Linked DNA regions of Astyanax mexicanus. The protein of the gene in region 4 interacts with the protein of the main gene of each other region in a pairwise test. Links are inferred from orthologs where the notes say so. Each region holds a gene or a part of one and is shown on either strand. Other genes may lie near its edges.

Region 1 (7,261 bases), on a different chromosome or scaffold from region 4:
TATATTATAACTCTTTTTTTCCAAGTTTACAAAACATGTTCATGAGGTACTTTGCACAAAATCAATCTCACAAATAGATCTCACCAGCTATTTTCTTACCAGTTTCAGTCCCTTTCAGAATGAGCCGTTTAAGGGCTCTGTCACTTTTATGTAAATAAGCTGTTGCTGGCCAAACCGTGTTTACGCTAAAAATTTACTACACCTTAGTGTTAGCTTGAGCTAAATGAAAAAACAGTGTACTAAGGTGACTTCACGTAAAAAATAGCCTAGCCATCACTTATTAATGCATGGGAAATTAGATAAATAAGTCATGTGGATGACTTAATAAGCTATGGGAATGAGATAATATGGTCATTGCAACAATTTATTAAAGTTTGAGAACAAATAATTAAATTGTGCAGACGACTTAATAAGGCATGGGAACGAGACAGTAAAGTTTGAGACAACGTATTAAAGTGAAGGAGCAAGATGCTGAAGTGGTGGGGACAATTTATATGGCCAGGTCTTAATTTTCGTGTTCCCACACTTTAATAAGTTGTGGCCACACAGTGGGATCTCATTACCATTCCAAAATAAGTTATCAATTAAGTTACAACTTAATTGTCTCATTCCCATGTCTTAATAAGTCGTGACCGCACATTAGGATCTCGTCCCCACACCTAAATTGGCTCTTTCCCAAGCCTTACCAAGTCTTGGTCATGCATTAGAATCTCATACCCACGCCTTAATAAGTCATCCCCACAGCTTAATTATTTCATTTCAATGCCTTAATAAGTCATGACCGCACATTAGGATCACGTCCCCACACCTTAATTGTCTCCTTCCCAAGACTTACTAGGTCTTGGCCATGCATTAAAGTCTCATACCCACGGCTTAATAAGTGTTCCCCACAGCTTAATTATTTAGTTCCCACACCTTAATAAGTCGTGGCCACACATTAGGATCTCGTCCTCACACCCTAATAAGTTGTGGCAACACGTTTCTTTTTTTTTTTTTACATGACGTCACTGTAGTGGCTACGAAGTAAGAAGAGTAAGTGCTCCTGAAGAACTCAGTGTTTAGGTTCTTGAAGGGCTTACTGGACAAGGGAAAGATTGTCCAAAATGTAAATCCTAATTGTAGATGTGTCCTGTCCCCTGCAAATTGTCTACATGTTTTGGAAATTGCCCAAACCTTACAGATTTCTGGAATTGTATTTTTAGTACACTCTACATTTTAAGGAACTCCTTGATTAAACCAGACCCTTTTTTGCAATATTTGGGGTTTCCTCATACACTTTGACTCAGTATACTAAAATAAATGATGATTGCCTTCACTACTAATTTTGCGTATATAGAAATCCCCTGAAACCCTGAAGCTCTCATCTTTTTGGACTGAAAGTTTCCTAAACTGTTTAAGATTAGAAAAAATATCAATTACACTTTTTTTATGTTTTAACTTCTTATCCTATGCAAACTACAAGTGCAATTATATTCTAAATGTCTAGTATGTTAAAAAGTAAAGAAAAACAAGAACAAAAATATTTTTGCATTGACTTTCACTGAATGGTTTTCCATCTTCTGTAAATTTGTATTTTTATTTAAATGAAGAGACCACTTCAGTTTCTGAATCAGTTTCTTTGATTTTGCTATTTATAGGTTTATGTTTGAGTAAAATGAACATTGTTGTTTCATTGTATAAACTATGGACAACATTTCTCCCAAATTCCAAATAAAAATATTGTCATTGTCATATTCATAGTTTTGTAGAATTTATAAATCAATATTTGGTGGAATAACCCTGTTTTTTAATCACAGTTTTCATGCATCTTGGCATGTTCTCCTCCATCAGTCTTACACACTGCTTTTGGAGAACTTTACGCGACTCCTGGTGCAAAAATTCAAGCAGTTCAGCTTGGTTTGATGTCTTGTGATCATCCATCTTTCTCTTGAGTATATTACAGATGTTTTTAATTTGTTAAAATTAATTAATTTTTAATTTTTAAGGAGTCTCTTATTTTTCCAGAGCTGTATTTACAGTGTTAGTGTGCGATTGCAAGAAAATCCCTTCTGGTTCAGTGCTGATACGTAGCACTTTTACGATACGTCTGTTTCAAACCATGAGTGTAAATACAACTTGCACAAGCTAAACCAATGGCCTAAATCTTGACCCAGTTTTTCTCAACGCGTATGAAGACAGCGCTGTTATGAGAAGTTATGTAGTTTTAAGGCCTGTGGAAGCCAGTTTCTGCACATTAATTGCTTGGCTAACTATTTATCGACACTCTGGTGTCCAACTTCCTCTTTATCTGTCAGTAATATTTGCATAGAGGTGCTTTTGTGAGTGTGGAGAGATCAAATACTACCTAACTAGTGTGTAAACGTGTAGAAGCTTACAACTGGAGAGACCTCTCCGGCTGCTGTGACCTCTCGGTGTGTGTCAGTGCGTGGGTGTGTATGAGCATAACCGTGAAAGAGAGAGAGAGAGAGAGAGAGAGAGAGAGAGAGAGCATGATTCCAATTCTCCCTAATCATTTTTTCACTCTATCTCTTCATTTAGCAGTGGACAGATGGGGGATTTAATCACAGAGAAGTCTTATAACCAGCCCCTATTATTCTTTCTCTACTATGATTCTCTCTCTCTCTCTTTCTCTCTCTCTCTCTTTCTGTGAAGGAAGTTGGTGTTTAATCCTGGCTTTTGATAAGGGATTAGAGGATCACTGCCTATGTGTCCCCATGTGACTGAAATACTCACTACAACTGTGTGTGTCAGTGTGTGTGTATGTCCATTAGCTGTTGATAAAATTGTATTGTTGCAGAAGCTAAACAAATTTGTACAAATATATATATTAATATAACTTTGTCACTACTTCTACTACCACTACTATTGCTACTACCAGTACTGCCACCATTATTACTACTACTACTTCTACTACTACTACTACTACTATTATCAGTACTACCACTGCTACTACTACTTTTACTACCACTAGTACTACTACAACCAGTACTACCACTACTACTACTATACTCCTGTTACTATTACCACTGCTTCTACTATTATTATTTAAAGTAAGTAGATTATTAAAACCGATGATGATTATTTAATCAGAATTATGTTAATGAACAGAGTTATATAGGCCTATTATTTGAGAAAACTCTTTATTAAGAATGGAACTCTAAAGTGTAATGCAAACAAGTGGAGCAGCTGGTCAGTGCTACATGATTATAACAAATACAGTGTGATCTGTTACTTTGCTATATTGTGGTTATCAAACCATAGCTTTATATAAAACAAAAACTGGCATAACAAATGTAGACCTAAATCACAGACCATTTTCTTGAGCCTGTTTCAACAGGACAAAAGAAACGTGATGGGAAATCTTGGGCCCCAGTTTGGGTCGGGGAAAAGAGGCTCGTGTTTGGATATATGTACAGGGGTTGGACAATGAAACTGAAACACCAGGTTTTAGACCAAAATAATGTATTGTCCCAACGGACAGTTCTGGTGGAAACAGGAGAGTTGAGGTGCACATTGAATTCTGCCGTGATTTGATCAGCTGTGGTTTTATGTTTTTTGGATACAATCCGGGTTAGCACCCGAACATCCCTTTCAGACAGCTTTCTCTTACAGCGTCCACAGTTAATCCTGTTGGATGTGGTTAGTCCTTCTTGGTGGTATGCTGACATTACCCTGGATACCGTGGATCTTGATACATCACAAAGACTTGCTGTCTTGTTCACCGATGCGCCAGCAAAACGTGCACCAACAAATTGTCCTCTTTTGAACTCTGGTATGTCACCCATAATGTTGTGTGCATTGCAATATTTTGAGCAAAACTGTGCTCTTACCCTGCTAATTGAACCTTCACACTCTGTGCAATTAATGAAGATTGGCCACCAGGCTGGTCCAATTTAGCCATGAAACCTCCCACACTAAAATGACAGGTGTTTCAGTTTCATTGTCCAACCCCTGTATGTATAAATATATATAAATTAGTACTAGTAGTAGTACTAGTAGTAGTAGAGCTAAAAATAATGTATCTATTCAATAACTATTTAACAATAAAAACAATAATAATAATACTATTTATTATTATTATTATTATTATTATTATTATTATTATATATATATATTTTTTTATCTATACCATATAACTTACCTATAATATATCACACACTAAAGACTGCTGTGCTCAGCAATGTGTGTGTGTGTGTGTGTGTGTGTGTGTGTAGAGGGGGGGGAAACAGGCGGATGTTCGTGACTCGGCGCAGATGATTGCCCTCGGCCTCAGTAGCCGCTTAACTTCCTCTTCAGCAGCTCGCTCTCACTGTACATCTTCTCACTTCCACTGCCCGGCTCAGCCCCACACACACAGAGCGATGGAGGAACCGGCTTAAACAGCAGCTTCTACACCTTTAAACCTCCAGAAAAGCCGCTTTACCACCACTGGAATTAAATTATATTACTACACTGCTGGAGCTCCACCTCACAACTCAACAGGTAACAACACGACATTCCTAAATTCTCCTGTTTCTGAGATTAAAAACAAACCGGCATATTTCACACAGTGAACCGCTTCCAGTTTAAACGGGCTTAATGTCACAGAAAGTGAATACCTTTATATAATATTACTTTAGGGTTTAAAACTAAAGGGTTTTATCATTTTAATTCAGTATTTTATTTGTAATTTAAATATATTTTGAGTTAATAACGTTTAAGTGGACGAAAAAATGTTTGGTAGCTAAGTTAACTAAGATATTTGACGCAGCAAAAGCGTTTAGTAATGAGTTTCCTCACTTTTTTGCGTAGGATTTTACGTAGGCTAATTGGGAAACACTTTAAACATAGTGTATTATTAGCGTGTAGTGAATATCCTCTGGTTTGTCCAACTAAAAACGAGTATCTCCATTTTTTTATTCTGTGTCAAAAAATCTTGATGAATGGACCAATATTTTTTTCTTCAAAATTATCTAAAATAAAGTATTTTTACATTGACTTCCACTGAAAGTTAAGAAGGTTTTATCTCTCTCCTGTAAAGTTCCTGTTTTGGAGATACATCTTTTTCAATAGACAGCTATGAAATGCACTAATATTTCTATTAGTGCTATTTCTATTTAATGGAACGTGAAAGACAAATTAAAATGAGAAAAGTCATAAAATAATCTTAAAATGATGTTTAAAAAATGTTCTACAGAATCCAAAAGGGTACACCACAATTTTCCCAGTGTTAAATAAACACTTATGTTATGTAAAATTTACAGTGTTTTACAAGTTACTGTCAAATTTGCTGTGTATAAAACCAAGCCTCAAATGTGTTCTCTTATATAGTGTTTCAAAGTCCCATAAACATCATCCTAAAGCTCTTTCCAGAAGTCGTCAGCTCTGTGTTCAGCCTAATCTTCCTGAAATGATGAGCGACTTTTGATAAGGACAGTCTGACTAAGGTGTTTTACATGTATAATGTGTTATTTGCACACTCCAGAGTGGCACTGGAGAACCCATCAGTAGGCAGAACATTTTCTATCCTTGGTTTAGAGAGTTTTAATGTTTTTAAAGGGTTTTGAGATGGTCATTGCTAGTCGTTTTTGGTTTAGATAATTAAAAAAAAAATACAATGCCCAAGTTGAGCGCCTGCTGGGATTTCAAGCGGAGACCTCGGAATCTGAATATACAGTACAGCATAACACATTCTATACTGTATCTATAACTATTCAATCTAGTCTAGGAAACACTGTGCTATACGGCTGTGGCACTCCCTAATCGGGGCACCAAACCACCTCATTTGGGCATAATTGCAGAGATGTCGCAAAAAAACGTTGGCATGCAAATTCCTCAATAAGGTCACGTATGGTGCCGCAGGCCTTGGATGCTACTGTCTACATGCTACATGTTTTCAACAGCTTCTGTATGAGGTTTTGAAACTAAATGATGAGAAATCTCTAAAGTTTGATGTCCAGATGGAATGGGATGAAAAAGTTTACATTTAGGCCAGTCACAACAGCCGTTTTTGTTTGGACGATAATATTGTTTGAAACATTACTGCAACAAATTATTATTGTCATCATTAGACATTAATTAAACTTTTACGCTAATAATATGATGAAAATGGGACACCAATATAATGCAATTACACCTTTTCAAAGAGCAACGCACTTAATTATTAAGATAGCATTGATCTTGCAAAACATTATGACCACTTCCTTGTTTCTACACCCATTACCAGTTTGTTCAGCTCTGCTGATCATATAGGAGCACTTTGTAGTTCTAGAACTACAAACTGTAGTAATTCTATTTCTCTGCATACCCTCTTCTTCTATGGTCAGGAAATCAGAGTACTTCCCCAGAACATGTGTTATTTGGGTAGGGGGTCATTCTCAGCACTGCTCTGACACTGGCAGGGTGGTGGTGTGTTAGTGTGTGTTGTGTTGGCATGAGCGGATCAAACGTGGCAGTGCTGCTGGAGTTTTTAAACTTCTCAATCTTACTGCTGGAATCAGAATAGTGCAACATTGTCATATGGACAGCATCATGTGACCCCCATCAACAGTCTATTTGCATGCCTCTGCATCATTAAATAAGCGTCTGAGTTTAGGAATATATCTGCATTGGTGGGCACCAAGGTCTGAAAATGAGGTGTGTTCAGGTAAATATCTGGCATGTTTCTGAAATACAGGTGCGCCATGACTGATTAAACCCTGACAACAGTCAACAGTCAGCCGTCCAATACTATTTTAGCCATGCAGAAGTGCTGTGCATGCCATGAAAGTTGTTAGCGTACACCACCACTCGTTACACACACACACAGACGTTCTGATTTTTTTTAATTTCATGTTATGCCCAAAGCAAGAATTCCAAAGACACACTGACACTGACTTCTTCCTTTGATTTTACATTTAAAAGGTGAGCAGCTACATTAGGTATGAGTGAGTAGTGAGTAGTTTAAAAACTCAAGCAGCAATGCTGTGTCTGATCCAGTTGTACCAGCACAACACACACACAAACACACCACCATCTTGCCAGTGTCACTGCAGTGCTGAGAAGGACCCACTACCCAAAATAAAACATGCTCTGTGAAAAACATAATGAACAATATCAAGGTCAAAAATGTGTATGCCCATGCCCATATATTTTTTTACCATAAGTTGAAAATGAAATGTAAAATTGTCATCCTGTGCTGTGAAAACACCACCTTTTAGGTGTAAAGGAAGATACTGATATGATAACAAGTCTGATTTTATTGGTTATTTTCTGACTGACCTCAAGATAAAAAGCAGATAAA
Region 2 (7,672 bases), on a different chromosome or scaffold from region 4:
TAATGAGGAGTGCAATGACATGCCAAATGTCACGGGACATAAAACTGTTATCTTGTCCTATAGAACCTAAGAACACTGCACTGACCTGTGGGGTATGAGATATATGTGTTGGGTCTCCTGCATTGAATGTGGATCTGATTTTGGCTTGGATTTTGATAATAATTACAGCTTGTTAAAGCTTTTTGACCCCTTTTATACCTGCTCAATTCATGGAGCTAATATCTAATAATCACATGCATCTCCACTTAAAACTATGTGGGGTGCAGTAAATGTCCTGGTGCTTTAGTTGTAGTGGGGTTTTTAAATTGTTAAATTCATCTTGTAATGACGGAAGTGTTTACACTGCTGTAATGTGTCTCAACTACATCTCAAATCACCCATAAAGTGGATTTGAATGTGTTTAAATGCATTTTGGGTGTGTTTACACTTGTGACTTGCTCTTATCCAGATATAATCCAGATTCTCAGGTTGCATGAAGTGAGCAGGTTGCACTGAAGTGAGAGTGCTGAGCTGAATGAAGTGTGCTAGTGGGTGAGCGCTGTGGATTGCAGGCTGATCCAGCTGACCCTGATGCACCAGCACGCTCTGAGATTTAGAAGGGTTACGGTCAGCGTGACGACGGTGCAGTGGCTGATGACCGATGTTCGGGAGGGTGTGACGCCACCTGCAAGCTCATGCTTTTGTAATCGAAGGCACTAATGACAGAGGAATTAATGGATTATTAATTTGAGAGCTCTGTCAGGCTCAGTCTGTCTGACAGCTTTTCACTGTCATGTATTGTTTACTATGAGTTTCTATATACTAAATAATAGCTGTCAGAATTTAACTTTGGGAGGAAAAATGGTATTTTTACAGTCCTAAAAAATAATGTATTACAGAGGGTTCCATAGAAAAGATAATAGCTGGTTTCTGGTATTATAAACTGGTGGAAATGTAGATCATCCAGCTAAAAACATGCCTTATGTTGGTAAACTAGCTGCTTAACCAGCTCTTTTCCAGTGTAAAGTTTTTTGCGCTTGATTTTGATCATGCTTGGTCTTGCTGGCCATGTTGATAAACCAGTTTGGAACACATCACAGAAGCCATTACCATCCACAGTGGACAGCACAGTGTGTGGTAATGATCGTGACCGGTGTAATCTCGCTAGAATTGTCTGTGCAAGCAGAAATTCCATCCAGATTCAATGTAGTAGACCCCATACATATACCCCTCAGGTCAGTGCGAGCTCTTTAGCTTTAATGGGGCATGGCAAAAGTGATGGAACATAACACTAGCTCTGTCCCACGACATTTGGCATGTCAATATACAGGGGTTGGACAATGAAACTGAAACACCTGGTTTTAGACCACAATCATTTATTATCCTGACGAACAGTTCTGGTGGAAACAGGAGAGTTGAGGTGCACATTAAATTCTGCTGTGTTTTGTTCAGCCGTGGTTTTATGCTTTTTGGATACAATCCAGGTTAGCACCCCTTTCAGACAGCTTCCTCTTACAGGGTCCACAGTTAATCCTGTTGGATGTGGTTCATCCTTCTTGGTGGTGTGCTGACATTACCCTGGATACCGTGGCTCTTGAAACATCACAAAGACTTGCTGTCTTGGTCACAGATGCCTCAGCAAGACGTGCACCAACAATTTGTCCTCTTTTGAACTCTGGTATGTCACCCATAATGTTGTGTGCATTACAATATTTAGAGCAGAACTGTGCTCTTACTCTGCTAATTGACCCTTTACACTCTGCTCTTACTGGTGCAATGTGCAATTAATGAAGATTTTCCACCAGGCTGCTTCAATTTAGCCATGAACACTCCTACACTAAAATGACAGGTGTTTCAGTTTCATTGTCCTACCCCTGTATGTCATAAATGGTGAAATTTACTGAAATTAGAAAAATGCTGTTTTTTAATATGTACTTTTTGTTTTATTACAACATGGTGCAGCCCTAATAATGTACAGTTTTACTATATATTGCCATCACAATCATTATAAGCATCATAATTTCCCTCTTATCTCACGTGCATATATACTATTTATATAGCTTAAACAGGATTAAGCGACTGTTTTGGCCAACCTGACTGTTTTGGCCAATCTGGGCTCTCCATGCCAAACACCACAGACCCTCCTCCCTCTAATACAATTTGCTTGTTCCACCGGCGACATCTATCTGCCGAGTGAGCGGTCCTGTGGTGAGTGTGTTTCTGCTTCCCACTGTCCAGAGCCTCCTGTTTCCAATCTCACTGCACTGAGAAGCTGAAGTGTGATTACAGCACATTACATCCAGCCGAAGAACGGCTTGCAAAAAAATAAACTTCTGAATGTCATACATTTTCTCTCACATAACCACACACATACATGCCAGTAAACTCATGCATGAGTGAGAGATAGTGAGATAGAAAGAGAGAGTGAGATCGTGAATGATTCTGAGATCATAAATGTGTGACAAAGAGGAACAGAGCAAAACACTGAATTCAAGTGAAATGTGAGAGAAAGATAGTGAATGCATGGGAAATAGAGAAGCACAGCAAGACAGTAAATGCATGTGAGGTTGAGTGTGTTTTTGAGAAGGTGATATTGCTAGAGAGAGGAGGCAGATTGAGATAGTGAATGCATGTTTAAGAGAGAGGAAGAGGCAGAGCAACTAACCGTGAGAGTGAAAGTTAATGCATGAGACAGAGAGAGAAAGTGAGAGGGAGAGAGACAAGATAGTGCATGATAGTGAATTTGTGTGTGTATAAGAGGCTGAGAGAGAGGTAGATTGAGATAGTGAATGTATATGAGAGTGTGTGTGTTTGATAGATAGAAGAGGCAGAGTGAGAGTGGATGCATGAGAGAGAGAAAGACAGGAAGAGCAACAGCAATACTGTAAATGCGTGCAAGAGAGAGAAAGAGAGAGTGAGTAAGTAAAAAATAGCCGCGAAAGACATCGAATGCAGGTGAGGGGACTAAGAAAGAGGTAGAGAAAGGGGGGTAGAGCGAGATAGTAAATGCATGTTTACGTGACAAAGAGTGAGATAAAGATAATGAATACATGACAATATAGTGCAAGATAGTGAATTTGTGTGCATAAGTGTGTATGAGACTGAAGGAAAGGTAAATCGAGATAGCAAATGTATGTGAGAGTGTGTGTGTGTGTGTGTTTGATAGAGATATAAATAGGGATAGAAGAGGCAGAGTGAGAGAGTGAATGCATGAGAGAGAAAGAAAGGAAGAGCAACAGCAATACAGTGAATGTGTGTGTGAGAGAGAGAGAGAAAGAGGAAGAAGCAGAGAAAAATAGTGAATTCAGGTGAAAGGGTGAGAGAGAAATAGAGAAAGAGGGGCAGAGCGAGATAGTGAATGCACGTGTATATGTGTAAGAGAGAGAGAGAGATGCAGAGCAAGATAGTGAATACTAAAAAGCGATAGGGGAAAGACAAGATAGTGAATGTGTGTATGAGAGACAGAGAGAGGGTTAGATCGATAGAGTGAATGCATGTGAGAGTGTGTGGGTGTGATAAAGATATAAAGATTGAGAGAAGAGGCAGAATGAGATAGATCTATCTATCTAGCGAATGCATGTGCAAGAGACGGAGCAATATAGTGAATGCACGTGAGAATGAGTGTGTTTGATAGAGATGTAAAGAGAGAAGAGTCCGAGTAAAAGTGTATGCATGTGAGAGAGAGAGAGAGAGAGAGAGAGAGAGAGAGAGAGAGAGAGAGAGAAGCAGAAAAATACCGCATGTGAGAAGGGGGATTCGGTGAGGGGAAAGAGTGAGATAGTGAGTGTGTGAATGCATGTAGTAAAGAAATAGGTGTAGTGAATGTGTGTGTGTGTATGAGAGATAGGGGAAGAGCGATAGAGAGATAGTGCGTGAATGCATGAACGAGAGAAATAGCAATATAGTGAATGCATGTGAGAGTGAGAGATATGGAGGTGTATTCAATGAGTGTGTGATTGAGAGAGGAAGAGCGATAGAGAGATAGTGAGTGAATGCATGAGCGAGAGACGGAGCATAATAGTGAATGCATGTGAGAGTGAGAGATATATTAAAGACAGAAAGGTGTAATGAATGTATCTGTGTGTATGAGAGAGAAAGAGATAGAGAGAGAGAGAGAGAGAGAGAGAGAGAGAGATACGGAGTGGATGCATGAGCGAGAGACGGAGCATAATAGTGAATGCGTGTGAGTTTGTGAGAGAAAGAGAGGGCGCGCGCGGAAAAAGATAGAGCTAATGAATGAGAGATAGGAGGATAGTGAGAGAAAGTGTCTGAGAGTGTGTGTTCCGTGTGTTCTTGCTCTCGGTCTGTGTGTGTGCGTGCTTGTGAGTGTGTGTGTGTGTGTGTGTGTGTGTATGTGTGAGGGATTCCCTCCACCGGGACCTGTAGGAAACCCACGCGCGTGCGCGCGCTGACGCAACTGCCCATTTTAGGAAACGAACGTCAGTGGCGGGCGATACCAACTGAGGCTTAGGGCTGGGGGGGAGCGGGGTCAGCTAAACTAGCCTAAAACTCACCGGGACCACCCGCATCTCACTTTAGGACCGCCCAGAGGCTTGAATTACACCTTCTACCGCATTGTTTTACACAGAAAACTTCCCACAGACTAACCCTGAGTTGTTCCTCTGTGGCTCCTCCCCCTGCGCTCTGTGGTGCGGCCGGTGTGCGCAGGTTGGCGTTGATAAGCAGATGCGAGCGCGCGGTAGTGCCATTGGAGTGAGTCATCGCGCGGAAAGGGTGGTCGCGGGAGCGAGCAGGAGGACCGGAGCGAGGGAGCGCGCATCTACTGAGTGGAAGGAGGCAGCACTGCCGCTCCTGTGAGTCACATCTACAAAAAAAACTGGAGAAAAACAGGAGGAGAACTGCGCTGAGTTTCATTTACTGAAAGTAGGTGAAATAAGAGACTTCTTACAACTTGTGTTAGTCACTCTAGCTTGGCTTACAGCGCTGGAAACATCTTTACTTTTTTTTTATTTCATTTTTATTTTTTCTACAAAAACCTGTTTACTGGACTATATGAACTCTTTCTTGCACGCCTGCTGCTCTCTTTTATTTTTATTTTATTTTTCTCTCTATTATAACAGTATAACAAAAAATAATAATAATACAGAAAGAAAACTGTACATCCGGACATTTAACCCTCTCTAAGCCTGATTTTTCTTCTGATTTTGTTCATATTAGGCTATTATTTCTCACAACACACACATATATATATATAGAGAGAGAAATATATAATTATATAGTATATTAGCTCACTCCAAGGAAACCCCAGCTGTGGGTTGTCTTTAAGAACCAAAAAAAACAACATTTTTTTTCTCCTTTTCGGCTTTGGAAGTGCAAAGAAGACACTCTTCTGACTGAAAACGTGTGGGAGAACTCTACAAACCTGTGAATTTTTTTCTTTCTGTATTTTTTCTTTTGCTGGATCATGTACCAGGAGTACTCCGGGAGCAGCAGCAGCGCCTCCCCGGGCCAGCAGGACTCCTACCCCAACGGGAGCCCCCTCTCAGCCTCCAGCTACCAGGTACGGTCCCCCACCTTCAGCTCCTTCACCACCATATTCACCGGTATAATCACCGGGCCTCAGCACACCTGTAGACACCGGGCTGCTGCTATATAGTCCTATAGCCCATTGGGCTGCTTCTCGCAGTCACTTTAAAGATATACAGTATATAGATATACCATTATACACAAGATACCAATATACACAATAAATCATTATTATCATCACATTTTTGGCTAGTTTAGTTTTCTGTGCATTTTAAATCAAATTATATTGTATAAACCAAAATAATAAAAAAACATATTGTAAGATCTAGCACATATTAATTTATATCCACTAATATTCACTAATTATGGTGAAAAGTGACTCTATAAAAATAGTAACTGTACTGTAGAACCTCGAAAAACACACATTTCCAGTCAATTTCCAGTAAGCTGGCTTTGCAAAAAAAAGTTATAAGTAAAAGTTTTGATTCAATAAAAGTAATAAAATCTCTTATCTTATTATTTTGCAATTTTATAAGACTTTATAAGCCATATAGATATGGATGCTCACAGTCTCTTTAATAGTCTACGAGTGTGCTGAACATAGATTATAATGTGTATTATTTATTGACTTATGATTGACTCAGCTGACTCATTTATATATATATATATATATATATATATATATATATATATATATATATATATATATATATATATTTATAGATGGATATGAAGAAATATTATACATAATATATATATAACATGTATAATCAACAGGGATCAGCTCTGCAAATAAAAGTGAAATCCCAATGATAATAAATAAATCTCAACACCAAAGTTTCAGATGACGTTATAATGACTTTTGTTCATTATGATTTTTCATTTTATTCATTAATAAACAATCCCCCGTGTTTATCTCATTATTACAGTGTTTATTGGTCTCCATATGGACTCAGATTAACACTGTTGGGTGTTAATTCGCCACTGTAGGTGTTAACAGTGGGGGCTCTGCTGTGTACAACATAGTGGTCTTTTAATAGATATAATAAGCCTACATATGTAATATATATATATATATATATATATATATATATATATATATATATATATATATATATATGCACACAGACAGGAATTGAGCAATTGAGCATGGTGTTAAATGAATTTGCGAGCTGATAATTCTGTGTGTGTGTGTGTGTGGGTGGTGGGCGTAAATGTGCGAGCAGCCCACCGAGACTGCGCACACACTGACCGCAGGATGCTCTCCACTTCCACTGACACAATACACTCAATTCTGCTTTCAGCTCATACCAGATGATTTGCAGCACTGAGGTGACATCTGCTGAATGATGAACCAGAGTTTAGCGTTAAAATTTAAGTGTTAAAGTGATTTAGAATAGTGTAATAGTGTAAAATAGAAGATTCTTAGGTTTGTGAGTTTGTGTATTTAAATGTATAGCTGGAATAGTGTATACTTACATTAATTACCCATGTAAAAAGTCAGAATTAGTTTTTTTATTTGTGCGGTATGAGTATTATGAAGATTACAACACCACAGGCTTGGTTGTATTGCGTCATTATTTCTGGGAAGATGTTACACTTGTTTTCCAGTGTAAAATAAAAACAGTTGTGTGGGAATATGTTGAGAAATTAACTCACAAGAATGTCCTTATTGTATAAATAAGGGTATACATGTCGATATATAGATATTTATAGATATATAAAGTGCTACACACTTTATTGCTTCAGTATCACACTCAAACACCTTTGTTTTGGTGCTTACATACAAAAGATACTCCAGTCCTAGAGATTATAAGGTATATTTACTGTCCTAATAGATATTTACTCCAATCTTCCATACATAAACTGCATTTTTAATAAATTAAACATTTGTATATCACAGTCCAACAAAATATTGCAATATCAATCTGTTTTCCAATACCATTAATTCAAAAGCTTCCACTGACACTCTTGATTTGGCCATATAGGCAACCCAAAAACCTGCTAAAACTGTGTTCATATATTAACGTCACAACAAAAGACTAATTATAAAATTACATTAAATAAATATTAATATTTCATATTAAAAGGCTGTGCAGCGATAGAAAAAAAGGCTCATTAAAAATGTCCTAAAACAAATGCTCCAAGTCAAAACTACTGAAAATCTATTAAAAAGTTTAGAAACGCTCCAAACACGAGAGTTAAA
Region 3 (7,606 bases), on a different chromosome or scaffold from region 4:
TTTCTAAATCTTGAATGACACAGATACTGGAGCTACTGCCATAACATTTATATAGAAGATGAGTTTTACATTTTCTACTGATTAACTAAAAATAAAGCATTTTTTATGATATTCTTTTATTTTATTTTTTTGAGATGCTGTTATTATGAATTACTTCAGACTGCCACAAGAGGGAGACATAATATCATCTAAGAGACTTGTTTTATTCTTAACCCTTTAGGTATTAAATAAATTAGGTATTAAGAAAAGCCTTGGCTTTTATTTTGAATTAAATACAATTAAGCTAAATTCATTCATAAGAGGGTCATCCTTCTGATCTATTGCAAGTCATCAGAAATGCATTTGTTACATAACAATGCCCCTTTAGGTTTTAGGCAACCTAATAAAATTTACACCGGAGTCACACTGGCTTCTTACTGTATTTTAGGCCTAATCTGTGCCTAAAGCAGATTAATAAATAAATATGTACAGATCCACAAATATACAATACCAGTCAGCTGATTCTGCCTCCCTCCACAGCTCCAAAGCCTCTTTTTAATCCCCAAACAGCTGCTTATTGAAATCAGATAAGCCTAACACTACCAAGACTTCTGCCAATATCTTAATCTGGACACAGTCATCATTTAAATTCTCATAAAATCCAGCAGAGAGGGCACAACCCCGGCGTAATGCTGCTGCAGCACGCCGAGCACTGCCAGCTCAGCCCAGCTGGAACCAAATCCCTGCACTGCTGAGCATCTTCATCTGAGGAACAGCTTTATCTCCAGCTGAGCTTAAAGAAATGTGTAAAAAGTATAAGTTTACTTACATGCTTTCTTATTTGCCGTTTAATTAATCACAAATGTATACAACATGTTTACAACATATTAATAAGGGTTGCAGTGGCTGCAGCAGGAAGGGATGCATGGAGTGGACGCAATTACACATAAATAATCATTATATAACAGTATATAATATCAAATATTATAAATCAAAATCAAATAAACAAAGAAATGAACAAAAAACAAACAGAACTAACCAACAAAAACAAGCAATAACCTGAGACAAGGAACATCAACCTAACCGACAAGAAAACAAAAACGTACAAGAACCAACAAACTAACAATAAAAACACAGGGGCTTAACTACACATGGAGGGAACAGAAAACGGGAAACACCCAGGGACAGGTAATGAGTGGGCGGAGCTACAAATGAACACAGGCGGGAGCACTGAAGGCATGGGTGGAGACAACGAGAACACAGAGAGAGCCATGTACTTTGAAAGGTAAATCAACAAACAGGAGGGCAAAAAAAAAAAAGCACAGAGACAAGAATGTGACAAAATGTTTAAACTAGAATGATTTTTAAATAAATATTTAGAAATTTATATAGACCATATTTTATTTAGCTATTTTTTCTATTAATAGCACAACACTATTCAAAAATATGTCAGAGAATTCCTTTTCCTCCCTCTCATCATAAAGGAAATAGCCCCGCCTCTTTATTTATGGATTTCTTTTATTACATTTGGTCAAATATTTACATTGGTGAATTTAGTCCCGCCTCTTTAAGAAAGCAACCAGTGACGTTTGATACCAGTGACATCACAACTTTAATACTGATTTACTTTAAGAAACTAATGAAACAAGTACTGCTGCATGTTCAGCCATTACTACTATTATTTCATTTAATATTTCTTATATTATCCTTTGTATACCTTGTATACCTTAAAGAGTTAAAGCTAAAACTATCCACCCTGTCTTGGCAAAATACCACATACATTAAAATAATAGGAGATTATCTAAATATATCTTTGAAACAGAACATGTTTGCTCACCATGAACAATAACAAAAACTAAAAATATGATTTTTGTGTTTTATGAGTTTTATAAATATGATTATAATCATTCATTATCACTGTTTTTCTTTGCATTTGTAATTCTCATTCAGCTCCATTTTTAACCAGTTAAAGAGGAGGAATGTTTTTTCATTGTTTTAACATTTTCTGCATTGTAGATTAACACTAAAGTATTCTTAACTATGAAGAAAAACATATGGATTTATTTAGTAAAAAAAAAAATGATTAGAAAGCGTTAAACAAACCAAAAAGTCTGTTATATTTTAGATTCTTTAAAGTAGCACCTCTTGCTTAGACGACAGCTTTGCACATCTTGGCTGGATTTTCTCAGTCAGTTTTATACACAACAGTCACCTGGAATTCAGGCTTTCAGGTCTCTTAATGTGTTTGAGAGCATCAGTTGTTGTAAAGTAGTGAAGAGGTAGAGTTACAGGTATACAGTGAATAGTGAATATTTGAGTAATGTTCTAATCCAGATTATGACAAGAGCTACTCAACTACTCAAGTAAATGAAGGTCAGTCAAATACGAAATATTTCAAGAACTTAAAAAAGTATCCTCAAGTGAAGTGGTAAAAAAAAAAAACATCAAAAACATTATGATGAAACCGGCTCTCATCAGGAGCGCCCCAGAAAAGGAATAGCAAGAGTTCCCTCTCTTGCACAGGATAAGTTCATGAGATCTAGAGCCACCTAAATGCTTCACAGAGTGTTTTTAAGTTACTACATGATTTCTTATGTGTTCCTTCATAGTCTGGACTACTTCACTATTCATTTACTAAAGGAAAAATATAAAATATATATAATAACATTAAACGAGAAGGTCTATACACACTACTGTGTGATGAATGAAAAAAATCATCCATAAAGAAACCCAGTGCGGTGTATAACTGTGCGTGTGAGTGAACAGTGTGCAACACGTAGCTTTAGCAAGCCTCTCTAAATGCAGCTTCCTGCACTGTAATAAAGATCTCTGCAGGAGGATAAAGGTAGTGTTTTGCCTGATTGAGGAGCTTCAGTCTCCTCGACGTTCATCTCTAAACCCACCTTATGGGCGCGTCTGCAGCAGAGTCTTGTACGCCTGCGCGCGCGCGCTCACGCTCCCTCTCTTTCTCACACACACACACACACACACACACACATACACTCGCGTACGCACACACGCGCACACGCAGAAGGTATGAGGTAATTGTTTGGTCACGTGACTCCTGCAGTAGCTGTCAAAAGTGATACAGCAGCGCATCCCTGACCAGCCCACCCGCTTCCAGCTGATTGGACTGCCGTCAAGGTGTTAGGGATCATCTGCAAATTCCACAAAACGTGAAATGCAGGTATATCCCCTCTGTCATCTAAGCAAGAGGTACTTCAAATCTAAATTCCATATTTTATTCTTCATGTTTTAATGACTTTAGTGTGAATATATTTTTTCAGTTTTTTTAAATAAATAATTGGCAGTTCCTGTATACATTTTTAATGTAAGTGTAGTTGAATACATACAATACATATATATACACATACCATATTGTTGAATCAGTTTTGAATCAGTGTAAAATCAATGTGCATTAGAGATGGAAAAACGATGTTGAGTCAATGTTCTTTTGCTATCTGGGGAGCATATAAACCATCAAACTTATATGAAAACATACCCTGCCATGCTGGTCATAACCTAAGCTTAGTAGGATAGTAGTAATACTACTACTAATAAGAATTATACTAACATTATGTCTAATATATCTATATCTACATCTATTCTTTGACATATACCATCATAACATCATCAGGCAATCAATTATTATTTGATTTATGTTTTCACATTACCAGTTACTTACTTACTTTGTTTTTAATGTTATGGCTGTGATCAGTGTCCACACATACTAGTGCATCTCAAACAAATAGAGAAACATTGAAAAGTTACTTTTCAATTGAAAATGTTCCGTTGAAAATGTGAAACTCATATATTAAATAGATGTATTACACACAGAGTGATCTATTTTAATCGTTTATTTCTTTTATTGTTCATGATTATGGTTTTCAGCCAATGAAAACCCAAAAATAAGTGTCTCCGAAAAAATGAATATTACATAAGGCCAATTGGTACTTTTGGCAGCGTGGGCAGTGTGCCAAATCCTGCTGGAAAATGAAATTCACACCTCCATAAAAGTTGTCAGTAGCAGAGGGAAGCATGAAGTGCTGTAAGATTTTGTAGGAAAACACCAACACTGCACTGACTTTGGACTTGATAATAAAACACAGTGGATCAACACCAGCAGATGACATGACTCTCCATTAAACCATCACTGATCATCAGTAAATTTTACATTTTATTTGTAAATCAAGGGATCAGAGTCTGGGGGAAGAGTGGAGAGACACACAGTCCAAACTGCTTGAGGTCTAGTGTGAAGTTTCTACAATCAGTGATGGTTTGACTGTTATGGAGATGCTGATTTCATTGTCCAGCAGGAATTGGCACACAGCCCACAGACCAATTGGTCTTTATGTAATATTCTAATTTTGTGAGACACTGATTTTTGGGTTTTCATTAGATGTAAGCTATAACCATCAACAATAAAATAAATAAACGCATCTATATAATATATAAGTTTCGCATTTTGAACTCAATTACTGAAATAAAGTAATTTTCCAATGATATTCTAATTTTTTGAGATGCACTATTAGCTATGTTCTCACACTTTATCCTCGGTCCCTTGCTCCGGAGCTGTGACCCCGCCCCTGTCGGGAGTCCTGAGCTCGTGCAGGCTAGAGAGAGTCAAAGGAGGTGAGGCGCGCGGAGAAAGTAGGGGAAAGTGGGGCAGTGGAGAGGGGGGCTTCAGGGACCCCCGCGCGGCAGATTTGGGGAGCTGGGAGGAGAGATGGTGGTCCAGCCTTCACTTTTCTCTCTCTGCCAGTAGCAGCAGACGGAGCGGGGCGCTGGTGACGCCTGGAGAAAGAAGCTGAGGCAGTGGAGGAGGAGGATGAAGAGGAGGATGATGATGATGATGATGCTGATGGTGAGGATGAAGATGATGATGAAGATGATGATGATTTCTCGTGTGTCATGGCAAACGGGACCGGCACGATCATGTTGAAGTGCGTGGTGGTCGGCGACGGCGCCGTGGGGAAAACTTGCCTGTTGATGAGCTATGCCAACGACGCCTTCCCTGAGGAGTACGTGCCCACGGTCTTCGACCATTACGCAGGTAAATAAACACACTTATACACCGGCTCTGGTGGGTCAGGGGTTGAGGACCCTGCTGAGACAATGGGCATGGCTTGGTCAAGGTGGCTGGTTTACAAGCTTAGATTTGGATCAGCATTGGGTGTGTTTAGGTCTTCAAGCCAGTATGACCAATCTTGACCATGCTGGTTGAGACAACATGACCAATAGGACCAAACAGGTTCAGCCAACATGTTGAGCCAGCTAGTTTATCAGTGTAAAGTATGTTTTTGCCTGGATGACCAGCTCTTAAGTAGCCAAGACTAAGATCAGAGATTGGGTTTGTTTTTTTGTTTGGGTTTTGATGGTTTAGCTAGTCTTCAAGCCAGTATGACCAAGGTGATCAATACGACCAAGTTGGTTTATTCAAGCAGCATTACCAAAACCAAATTAAATATATACTATACTGGTCAAGAGCTGATTAACCAGCTACTTTAGGGTGTTTTTGTTTGAGTTTGATTGGTTACCTGGTCTTTAAGCCAGTATGACCAATCTTCACCATGCCGGTTGACCCAACATGAACAAGACCAAGCTATTCAACCAGCCATACCAAAACCAAATGAAACATAAAATATGCTGGCCAAGAGCTGATTAACCAGCTACTTTAGAGTGTTTTTGTTTGAGTTTTATGGGTTAACTGGTCTTCAAGCCAAGCTGGTTGAACAGCTAGTTATAAAGTATAAATTTTTTGCCTGGATGTCCAGCTTTTCAGTAACCTAGACCGAGATCAAAGATTGGGTCTGTTTTTGTTTGAGTTTGATGGTTAAGCTGGTCTTCCACCCAGTATGGCCAAGTCTTACCAAGCCTCACCAAGCTGGTTGACCCAATATGAACAAGACCAAGCTATTCAACAAGTATTAGCAAAACCAAATAAAATATATACTATGCTTGCCAGTAACTTAGTTTGATGGGTTAACTGGTCTTCAAACCAGAATGACCAAGTATGACCAAGCTGGTTAAACAGCTAGTTATAAAGTATGTTTTTGCCTGGATGACCAGCTCTTCAGTAGCCTAGACCAGGATTCGAAATTGGGTCGGTTTTTGTTTGAGTTTGATTGTTTAGCTGGTCTTCAAGACAGTATGACCAAGCCAAGTCTTACCAAGCCTCACCAGACTGGGTGACCCAACTTTAACAAGACCAAGCTATTCAAGCAGCATTACCAAAACCAAATGAAACATAAGATATGTTGGTCAAGAGCTGATTAACCAGCTAATTTAGCATGTTTTTGGTTTGTGTTTCATGGGTTAACTGGTCATCAAGCCAGTATGTCCAAGTATGACCAAGCTGGTTGAACAGCTAGTTATAAAGTATGTTTTTTGCCTGGATGAACAGCTTTTCAGTAACCTAGACCAAGCATGACCAATAAGACCAAACTAGTTGACCCAACATGAACAAGCTGGTCATAAGTTGTTTGAACAGCTAGTTTATCAGTATAAAGTATGTTTTTGTTCACGTTTCGTAGTTTAACTGGTCTTCAAGTCAGTATGGCCAACTGTGTACCATGCTGGTTGACCAACAATACATGAAACAGTGTTTTAATCTCCTTTTTCTGTTGGTATTTAAGCCACTATGACCAAGGTTGACCATGCTAGTTGACCCATCATCAACAATATGACCAAGCTGGCTGAGTAGCAAGACCAAGCTGGTTAACCAGCATGACCGAAACCCCCACATTAAACAAACCATATGCTTGTGAACTGGTTAACCAGCTAGCTTTACAATATAAAATATGTTTTTTTTCCTGGGTGACCACCTAGACAAAGATCAAGGACTATTTTGAGGTGTTTTTGTTTGAGTTGATGGTTTAGCTGGTCCTCAATCAAGTATGACCAAGAATGACCAAGTATGACCAAGCTTGACATTGTCTTATCAGTATAAAGTATGGTTTTGCCTGGATTACCAGCTTCTTAACCACCTAGACCTCCAGAACCATCTACCAGCAAAAGTAGGTCTTCAGTTGGGTTTGTAAAGCAGAGAACTGATCTTTTGTCATGTATATGGTTAAAAATGCTTAAGAAACTGGTCTGAAGTGGCACTCAGGCTTTGTCTGCTGTTGCCCCTGTGATCAAAACCACCTGTTGGCTTCATGGAAGGAAGGAAGGAAGGAAGGCAGTTGGTGTGTGTTACCATCTTCCACCACCAACACCCCTCCCCCCACACACTTTTTTAGTGCAGAAACCACACACACAACAGTGCCAGCTTGCCGTTATTTCGTCTTCCCTGATAGCAACATTAATGTGGCTTGTTATTGGGTCACATCTGGAAATTTAACATTGGCTCACACACTGCTTGTAATAATGGCCAGAGGTGGCCAGATGTGGTTGCTGTAAAGGTTACTGTGGTAGTAGTTGAGTTGTAGTTGTTGAAGTGGTTGAATTTTGGGACAGATTTGAGTTTTTTTAAGGTGTGTGCAATGCTGCCGTTTTAGATCTGTAACAGACAGCTACAGCATTAAATACTGCTGTAAATACTTACCATATATAATGTAATATATTATAATAAAATTCTACCTCAGAACAAAAAAGTATATAATATTTAGTGCATGAATATAAACTG
Region 4 (7,285 bases):
TCAATAATAAATAATGAGAGATATAGGGGCCATTTCACAGACATGCATTAAGTCTAGTCATAGACTACAGTATATTTATCTTTTAATTCCTGTTTTGCCAGGAGGTAATAAAGTTAATAAAGTAATAAAGTTAATAAAGTGATCGGTATGTGCAGATGGTGAGTACAGTTATTAAAAAGATAGAAATGATAGGGTTAGATAAATGCACAGAAGAGCACAGGCTCATTTGATGATTCTCTGTTTATCTGTTAGTTGAGATCCAAAACAGCTCACATAACTATTTTAATAAATTGAATTTGTAAATACTGTCAAACGTTCCAACATCCAGTGCAAAGCCTTCACAGAAATGTAATGGTTGTTTCTGCAAAATTGGGGTCTGGGAACTCTCCTTATCAACACTGTTTATTACAAACATTTAAACATTAAGTGCACACCATTTATATGGGTGAGCAGATCTGACACCTCCCACCAAAAAAAAAAACTCATTTACTCTTATCAGACCACAAGGACAGAACAGTATAAACATCAGGTCAAGGTGAAATGCCCCTTTATTGCCACCAAGGACATGGGGGGTGTGGGGTACTCCTAAAATGTGTTTCTCTGGAATTGGTTTCACTCACCAAATGGGTATTGCTTCACTATACACATATATTTTTGTTTGTATGTTTGTCTGTTTTGTGTTGTAATGCAGTATGCCCTCAATCCAAGCAAAATTTCTCCTTGGGAGATAAATAAAGAAACTATGACTATGACTATTTGTGGCCACAATTTAAAGTATGTTTAAGTTAAGTAAGCTAAAGTAAAAACTAAATGATGCAGTGGTATAAAGCCATTTTTATCTGTTAACCATGGGGTGGATCAATCAAGTTTTGGGCTTGTGATGCAGCCAGTGTAACAGGGAGCATTTGACTGGTAATATAATTTGACTGGGAAAATGGATATAATTAACAATTGAAATTAAAATCTGGAATTAATCACACCTTCTGTAAAAACAAAAGCTGTTGAGAAAAAGAGAATTACTTTTACAACATGATTCTAAACACATCTCAAAATCCACAAAGGCTCTCACAGCACTTAAAATTCAACAAACATCTGTAAACAGGTGTCAGAAAAGCAGTTCATGTAAGACAGCCCCTGAATCTCCCAAAACTAGAAGCTTTTAACAACAAGGAAGAATGAGCAAACACCCATCAATGAAGAACTGAAAATCTCTTACCTGCTACAAATATTGTTTACTGTGATGACTTCTTATATCTGCTATAAGAAGGATACTGTCTGCACAGAAAAATCTTAAAATCATGAAAATCTTTGCAGTACAAAACTGTATTTTGTTTTTTATTATTAATTTTGGTTAACTTTTCAAAGGAAGTCTCATTGTTTGTTATAAATGTATTTGTTTAGTCTTTTTTTGGAATATTCTGTGTATCTTACAAAAATAACATAGGTAAAATATTTTAATAAATGTGCAATTTTTCACTTCACAGCTTTTGTAAAGCAATTAATCGTTCACGTACTGTTCACCTATGAGAAGATCAAAAATCTGCGGTGGATAAACCTACATATAATTGTATATGTACACAAATATTAAATATTAATACTTTTTTGCTTAAATGCTTTAAAGCCTAAGATGATGGTTCTGGTTTTAAGTACATATCTAAAACTAGTCTTTACTTATTATTTAATAAATGCAGTGCCATAATTAAGAATCCTTCAGTAGGTAAATCTAAAGTATTACTAAGGAATACAATCTTCAGGGTCTTCAGAATTGTCCTACTATCTGCTCTTTGAATCCATGTTTTTTGTATTGTGTTTTTTTTTTTGGAATGATCTTCTTTTAGATTTGAAGAGAAGGTTAGATAGTAAAGCTATATACAATTTAATGTAATACAATAAAGCTGTATTGTATGTTTTTAATGACCCTTTATTTTACTTTAAAACCCAACTCATTACCTAAATGGGCTGCTGCATAAGGGGCCCTCATGGAGACCGAGTACAATAAAAAGAGTGCTTTATAATGGGTTACCCTGATGGGGCCCATTATACAGTGCACATAATGGCCCCAGGTGTCCTCAGCTCTATTTGCCCATTAATGGCCCAACCTGTGCCCATATTTTACCCATGTAAAACCCACTTTGGTTCTAAATTAAAGGCCCATAAAAACCCCACATATGCTACCCATTAGGGTTCCACACTGTACCCATCTTAAACCCGTCATTAACCCATATGCTGCTCAAGGGGCCCGCATAGAGACTAAGGACAAAATGTGTTGGGTCCTAAATGGTTAAACTTGTTGGGGCCCATCATTTAGCCCATCATAAACCCACATGGGGCCCATAAAATTAAACATTTTCGAAAAATAAGAAATTTCAAAAATCTATTCATACTTTGAAGCTTTTCAGTTTTAGCTTTTTTTTGTTGGTTTTGTTGTTTGTTTGCTTTTTTATTTTATTATATTTTTATTTTTTATGTTGTTGGCATACCTGTCAAGTCTCCCGTTTTGGCCGGGAAACTACCGTATTTTACTCCTCTTTCCCGCCGTCCTCCCGTATTAGTATTTTTCCGTAAATTTCCCGTATTATATTAAAATTAAAAAATATATATTATTGAGGAGACAGGGCACTGACCGCTCTTTGTCTCTTAACCAATCGTGGAGCCGGTTCAAGGAGAAAGTCCCGCCTTTCAGGAGAAACAGCCAATCAGCTTGCAAAGGAGGGTCAGTGTGGGGAAGCCCCCCGTCGCTGTGAGTTCAGGCAGCTAGTCGGAGCTGCTGATGTTAAAACAGATCTGGATATACAGCGATTTTTCTTAAAAAAATGTAACGGTAGGCTAATCATGTAAACTGTGATGAGATTTTTCTGATAGCTGCTTAAAAAGACTCGTCTCCGAAATAAAACACACAGATTAAACATTTTAAAATTAAAAAAAAAATTACAGCTTGTGACCGAAATGAACTGAACTGATCAGGGGTGGAGTGATCAAAAGGAAGAAGTATTAATTAAAAATGATTAATTGTGTAGGCCACTTAGGACTAATTTTTACTGATGGAATATATCTGGTCCATGTCCTTTTAGTAAAAGCTCATAATACTATTTTTAGGTCACCTACAGTCATTTTGCAGAATTTGTGCCCCCTTTGTTAAATTTTAAATCTATTAAATAAATAAAAAAAATATAATATAAAAGAGTGCATGTATGGCAAAAAGACATGAAATCTTAATCTTAATCTTAATATCTTGAAAATGATTTTTAATTTGGCTGTATTAAAAGAATGATATATGTAGGAATGTCCACAACATTTCAGATTCTGATAATCTAATTGTAGTGTGTAAGTGGTTCACTTGTGGTTATTTTAGATTTTTTGTAAACCTGTCTTTAAAATGTAAGAGATACTGAACCTTCGTTGGGCTGGTGGGACGACTTTAAGCGGACAGAGGAAAATATCCCTTATTTTTCTAAAACTTGACAGGTATGGTTGTTGGATATATGAATCTTGAAATTAGCCTATTGCTGTTTCTGTTTAACTTTGTTGTATTGTATTATGCCGACCTTAGACATAACGATTTTCAAGCAATTTCACTGTTGCAGAAAAATTTCCAGAGTCAGGATTGTGTCTTATTGTGCAGTGTTATTTTTGATACAAACAAGTTTAATAAATACACATTTTGCAAGAATGATGTTGTTTATTGCATTAATCTAAAACAAAGGCAAATGTATATCAGTGAAACTGTGATTGATTGCTTTACAAGGTTGTATGCTTATAAGAAGAGTTGAACACAAAATGTATTCTATTAAAAATATCAAGAAATAAGTGTGGCCGAAAAATAAACTGTTGATGTGAGTCTCTGATAAATCACAGTATTGATTTACACATTATTTTTAACTTAATATGTAACATGTCTTGTATGTAACCTCCACCAGAAGCTTGATGGGAAATATTCTCAGAAAGAATCTAGCTGCAGTCTTACAGTTAGTGATCCTCAGTCTTAGCAAAATATGTTAGTAAAAAGTCTGTGACTTGTCTTTAGACGTGAGGGAGTGTCAGACCTTAGTATAAGAAAAGTATTTTTAGAGTCTTTTTTTAAGTCGTGTAGTGTATGAGCAGCATTTAAAGTACAAAAGCTCAATATTAATAATAAAAAAGCTGGTAAAAATATTGTGTGAGATCAGCGGACTGAGTGAAGTGTTCCTGAAACAGATCGATCGATCATATCGGTGATCTGTTGCTCTCGCTCTCTCTCTCTGGAGGCCTAATCGTGTGGCAGACCAGTGTAATCGATCCCTGCTGAAAACGGACATCCTGCTGTGTTTAGAGGAGGAGGATCAGCGGTATTTACTCCTCCGCTGAAGTTCTTCCTCCTTCTCCTCTGACTGTGATAGACTGAGCTTAAGGGACTCAGAGAGCCGGGCTGTACAGACTGAGGGCTGCGGGGTCGCTGAACCGAGGCTCTGCAGTGCTGCTGGTGGTGTTGTTGTGGGGGTGCTCGGGTATCCGCTCGGTGTTAGACGGTCTACAGGGCGGGGATGTCGGCGGGCGCCGCGCAGGGAGCCGCGCTCGGAGCTCCGGCCTCGGGCATGTCGATGTTCCGCTGGCTGGAGGTTCTGGAGAAGGAGTTCGACAAGGCGTTCGTGGACGTGGATCTGCTGCTGGGCGAGATCGACCCGGACCAGGCCGACATCACCTATGAAGGCCGCCAGAAGATGACCAGCCTCAGCTCCTGCTTCGCGCAGCTCTGCCACAAAGCGCAGACCGTCTTCCAGCTCAACCACAAACTGGAGGTAGCTAGCGTTATTATTAAAACACAACACACCACCGGGCCTACACCACCACTCCACTGTAGCTTTAACACTCACACAGACTGTGAAATATTCATTAAACTGTTCAGAGTCACAGGAAGCTAGCTAGCTATCCTAGCTAACCCACCACACAGCAGCAGTGTGTGAGGAAACTACTGTTCTGTGGAACAGTAGTGGAAGTTTGGGAACTCTCGCCAAATTACTTTACAAATTACACACTTTATTCATTTCTTATTGGGAATTAATAAGCACAGAGTATGTAGGTTATACTGTATTGTCACCAAATTCTAATGTACATCTGTTTCCAGAATTCATCTTGACCTTAGCAGTTCTCCAAAATTTTTCAATGTCATAAAAATGCTGTAAATTATTTCTTCCAATTAAGAATTCTTGTGTATATAAAAATTCCTAACTATTAAAATAGCAACTAATAATGAGTGAATATATTCGTATAAATACTGGATTAAGCTTCTTATTTCTGTCTACAAAACATTTGGTCATCTCTAAACAAATGACACTTTATATATATATATATATCAATGTATTTTATTTTAATAAATAGAAAGCACAGAATGTGTGGCTAATACTGCCAATATTTTCTACAAATGTACAACTGCTTTTTTATGCCGAAATATATTATATGCAAATCAGAATAACCATTTTGGCCTGGGCAAAGGTTTATGCACTTTACCCGGTAAAAGCTTTGTTACAACCCCTTTGACAGAAAATACAGTTCACAAGCTCTGTTTGTTGCAGATAAGTGTTTTTATATCTAATATCAGTTTTGTCTTTATACTGAGGGTGTTTTAACTGTAGCAATTCAGTGTTTTGTTTTTTCCAGATCACATTTTGACTACCACAGTTCACCTGAACTGCCATTTCTTACCATTCCTTACTGTAGGATGCTTGGAAGTCTTCTTGTAGATACTGGGTGGTGCTTTTCTATTTCATGGACCCAATCAATACTGCTCCAAGTTTAGCACTGAGATTGTTTCTTGATCTTCATGCAGGCATTTATAATTCAGCAGCCAATGCCCTGTAGTTCAGTTCACGTTAGGCTTTAGTTACATTTTGTTGTGTGCCAATATATTTTCTTGTTCTTTTTTATAAATAATTATAAAAAGAGTCTAACCTTAATCCTAGTCCTCTAGCAGCTGACAAAAATCAAATGCTGCAGTTCAATTAGAATCTCATCCTAGCCATGTTGGCAATTAACATGGTTTTGTGCTGATTTTGCTGCCTATGATTAATTGATCTGTGAATTATACAATAAATAGTACCATCAGATTCTACACAATGTCAGTTTTATTACCGCTCATTAAAATAGTTTGCTGAAAGTTATTTCTGATATTTAACGTTCTGCAATTGCCCTTTTACATTTTTTAAGTGACATTCAGTGCAGTTCATCATAGGTGTGAAAAGATATCATAATCTTGTATTGAAATAGGTACTGCTATTATCAGTCTAATATATCTCTAAAAATGGCATTTAAAAGGAAAGGTATTACAGTTTAACAATAAACGTGATGCACCTGCCCTTCCTGCTGAGCTGAGCCTGTTTTGCGTAAGGGGGTTTGCATTCCTGACATTTGAAATCCTGATCCATTGTAAAAGAGAGATGCTTACTCATCTTAAATGTGAGTAAAGCTCAGACAGAGCTGGAGAACATCAGAACTCAATAGTGTTGGAGTGTACCAGCCAATGCTCTCTTTAGGTTTATTATTTTAGTACAAAAGAGATACATGTTTAGAGAAATAGACCTGCAGAACCTGCTCAGCCAGGTCTGATCAGTTTATTGTGTCCTCTGTCTATAGTGTGTGTGTGTGTTTGTAAATGATAAGAAGACAAAACTATGCAAAGCACCTTTTGGAGTCAACACTACTATTTTCCTCTTGAGGCTTTTCCATTGGATTGTCATTAGCTGGTAATTACTGTCTTTAGGTTGATTAAAAAAAAAAATGTGTATATTTTGCAATTTATATGAAAAAGTGCAGTCCTGTATTTCTAACATGATATCACCAGATATCCTTTAGCTTTCCTCCATGAAGTTGGTTGGAAATAAATATTTTTGGTAATTTTTGAAATATTGGCCATTGTTAGTAGGGCTTTTATTGTGTACATCTACTCTCAAACAAATTAAGTTTTATTGCATGTTGTGATCATACCAAATGATGTGAATTAAAGAATTCATAAAAAGTCAGCTTATACTTGTCATGCAAAAATACATTAAAACATAAAATAAAATAATTTTAAAAACGATTAATTAAAATAATTAAATGAAAACCAATGTAAAAATTAAATAAAATGGAAATTAATTTAGATTTATTGTGATTTATAAAGGCCAGTCTTTAATCAGGTGACACTATTGGTTCACTGGTATGGTTTTGGTGTCACATAAATTGTTATTGTGGACACATTGAAGTTCTGGATTTATAAGATCTATTTAAGTTGCTACACTGTGAACTCATGCTTTATTTAATGGTTTTAGAGTGT

Evidence for each region.
Region 1: the proteins of gopc (region 4) and hck interact in binary tests that used the Homo sapiens proteins (3 or more experiments, as listed by UniProt). The two-hybrid records come from large-scale screens. The link is inferred for Astyanax mexicanus from reciprocal best matches to the Homo sapiens genes GOPC and HCK.
Region 2: the proteins of gopc (region 4) and fosl2 interact in a two-hybrid assay, tested with the Homo sapiens proteins (2 studies listed by BioGRID and IntAct). The two-hybrid records come from large-scale screens. The link is inferred for Astyanax mexicanus from reciprocal best matches to the Homo sapiens genes GOPC and FOSL2.
Region 3: the proteins of gopc (region 4) and rhoq interact in a two-hybrid assay, tested with the Homo sapiens proteins (2 studies listed by BioGRID). The link is inferred for Astyanax mexicanus from reciprocal best matches to the Homo sapiens genes GOPC and RHOQ.

The regions. Positions count from the first base shown.
Region 1 is NC_064420.1:31,466,403-31,473,663, reverse strand, and holds the start of hck (tyrosine-protein kinase HCK), read left to right. Parts: upstream 1-4,258; 5' UTR 4,259-4,482; intron 4,483-7,261. UniProt on the Homo sapiens protein: Non-receptor tyrosine-protein kinase found in hematopoietic cells that transmits signals from cell surface receptors and plays an important role in the regulation of innate immune responses, including neutrophil, monocyte, macrophage and mast cell functions, phagocytosis, cell survival and proliferation, cell adhesion and migration.
Region 2 is NC_064421.1:9,779,672-9,787,343, reverse strand, and holds the start of fosl2 (fos-related antigen 2), read left to right. Parts: upstream 1-4,670; 5' UTR 4,671-5,404; coding exon 5,405-5,500; intron 5,501-7,672.
Region 3 is NC_064422.1:39,689,203-39,696,808, reverse strand, and holds the start of rhoq (rho-related GTP-binding protein RhoQ), read left to right. Parts: upstream 1-4,586; 5' UTR 4,587-4,890; coding exon 4,891-5,032; intron 5,033-7,606. UniProt on the Homo sapiens protein: Plasma membrane-associated small GTPase which cycles between an active GTP-bound and an inactive GDP-bound state. In active state binds to a variety of effector proteins to regulate cellular responses. Involved in epithelial cell polarization processes.
Region 4 is NC_064408.1:80,413,191-80,420,475, reverse strand, and holds the start of gopc (Golgi-associated PDZ and coiled-coil motif-containing protein), read left to right. Parts: upstream 1-4,275; 5' UTR 4,276-4,520; coding exon 4,521-4,775; intron 4,776-7,285.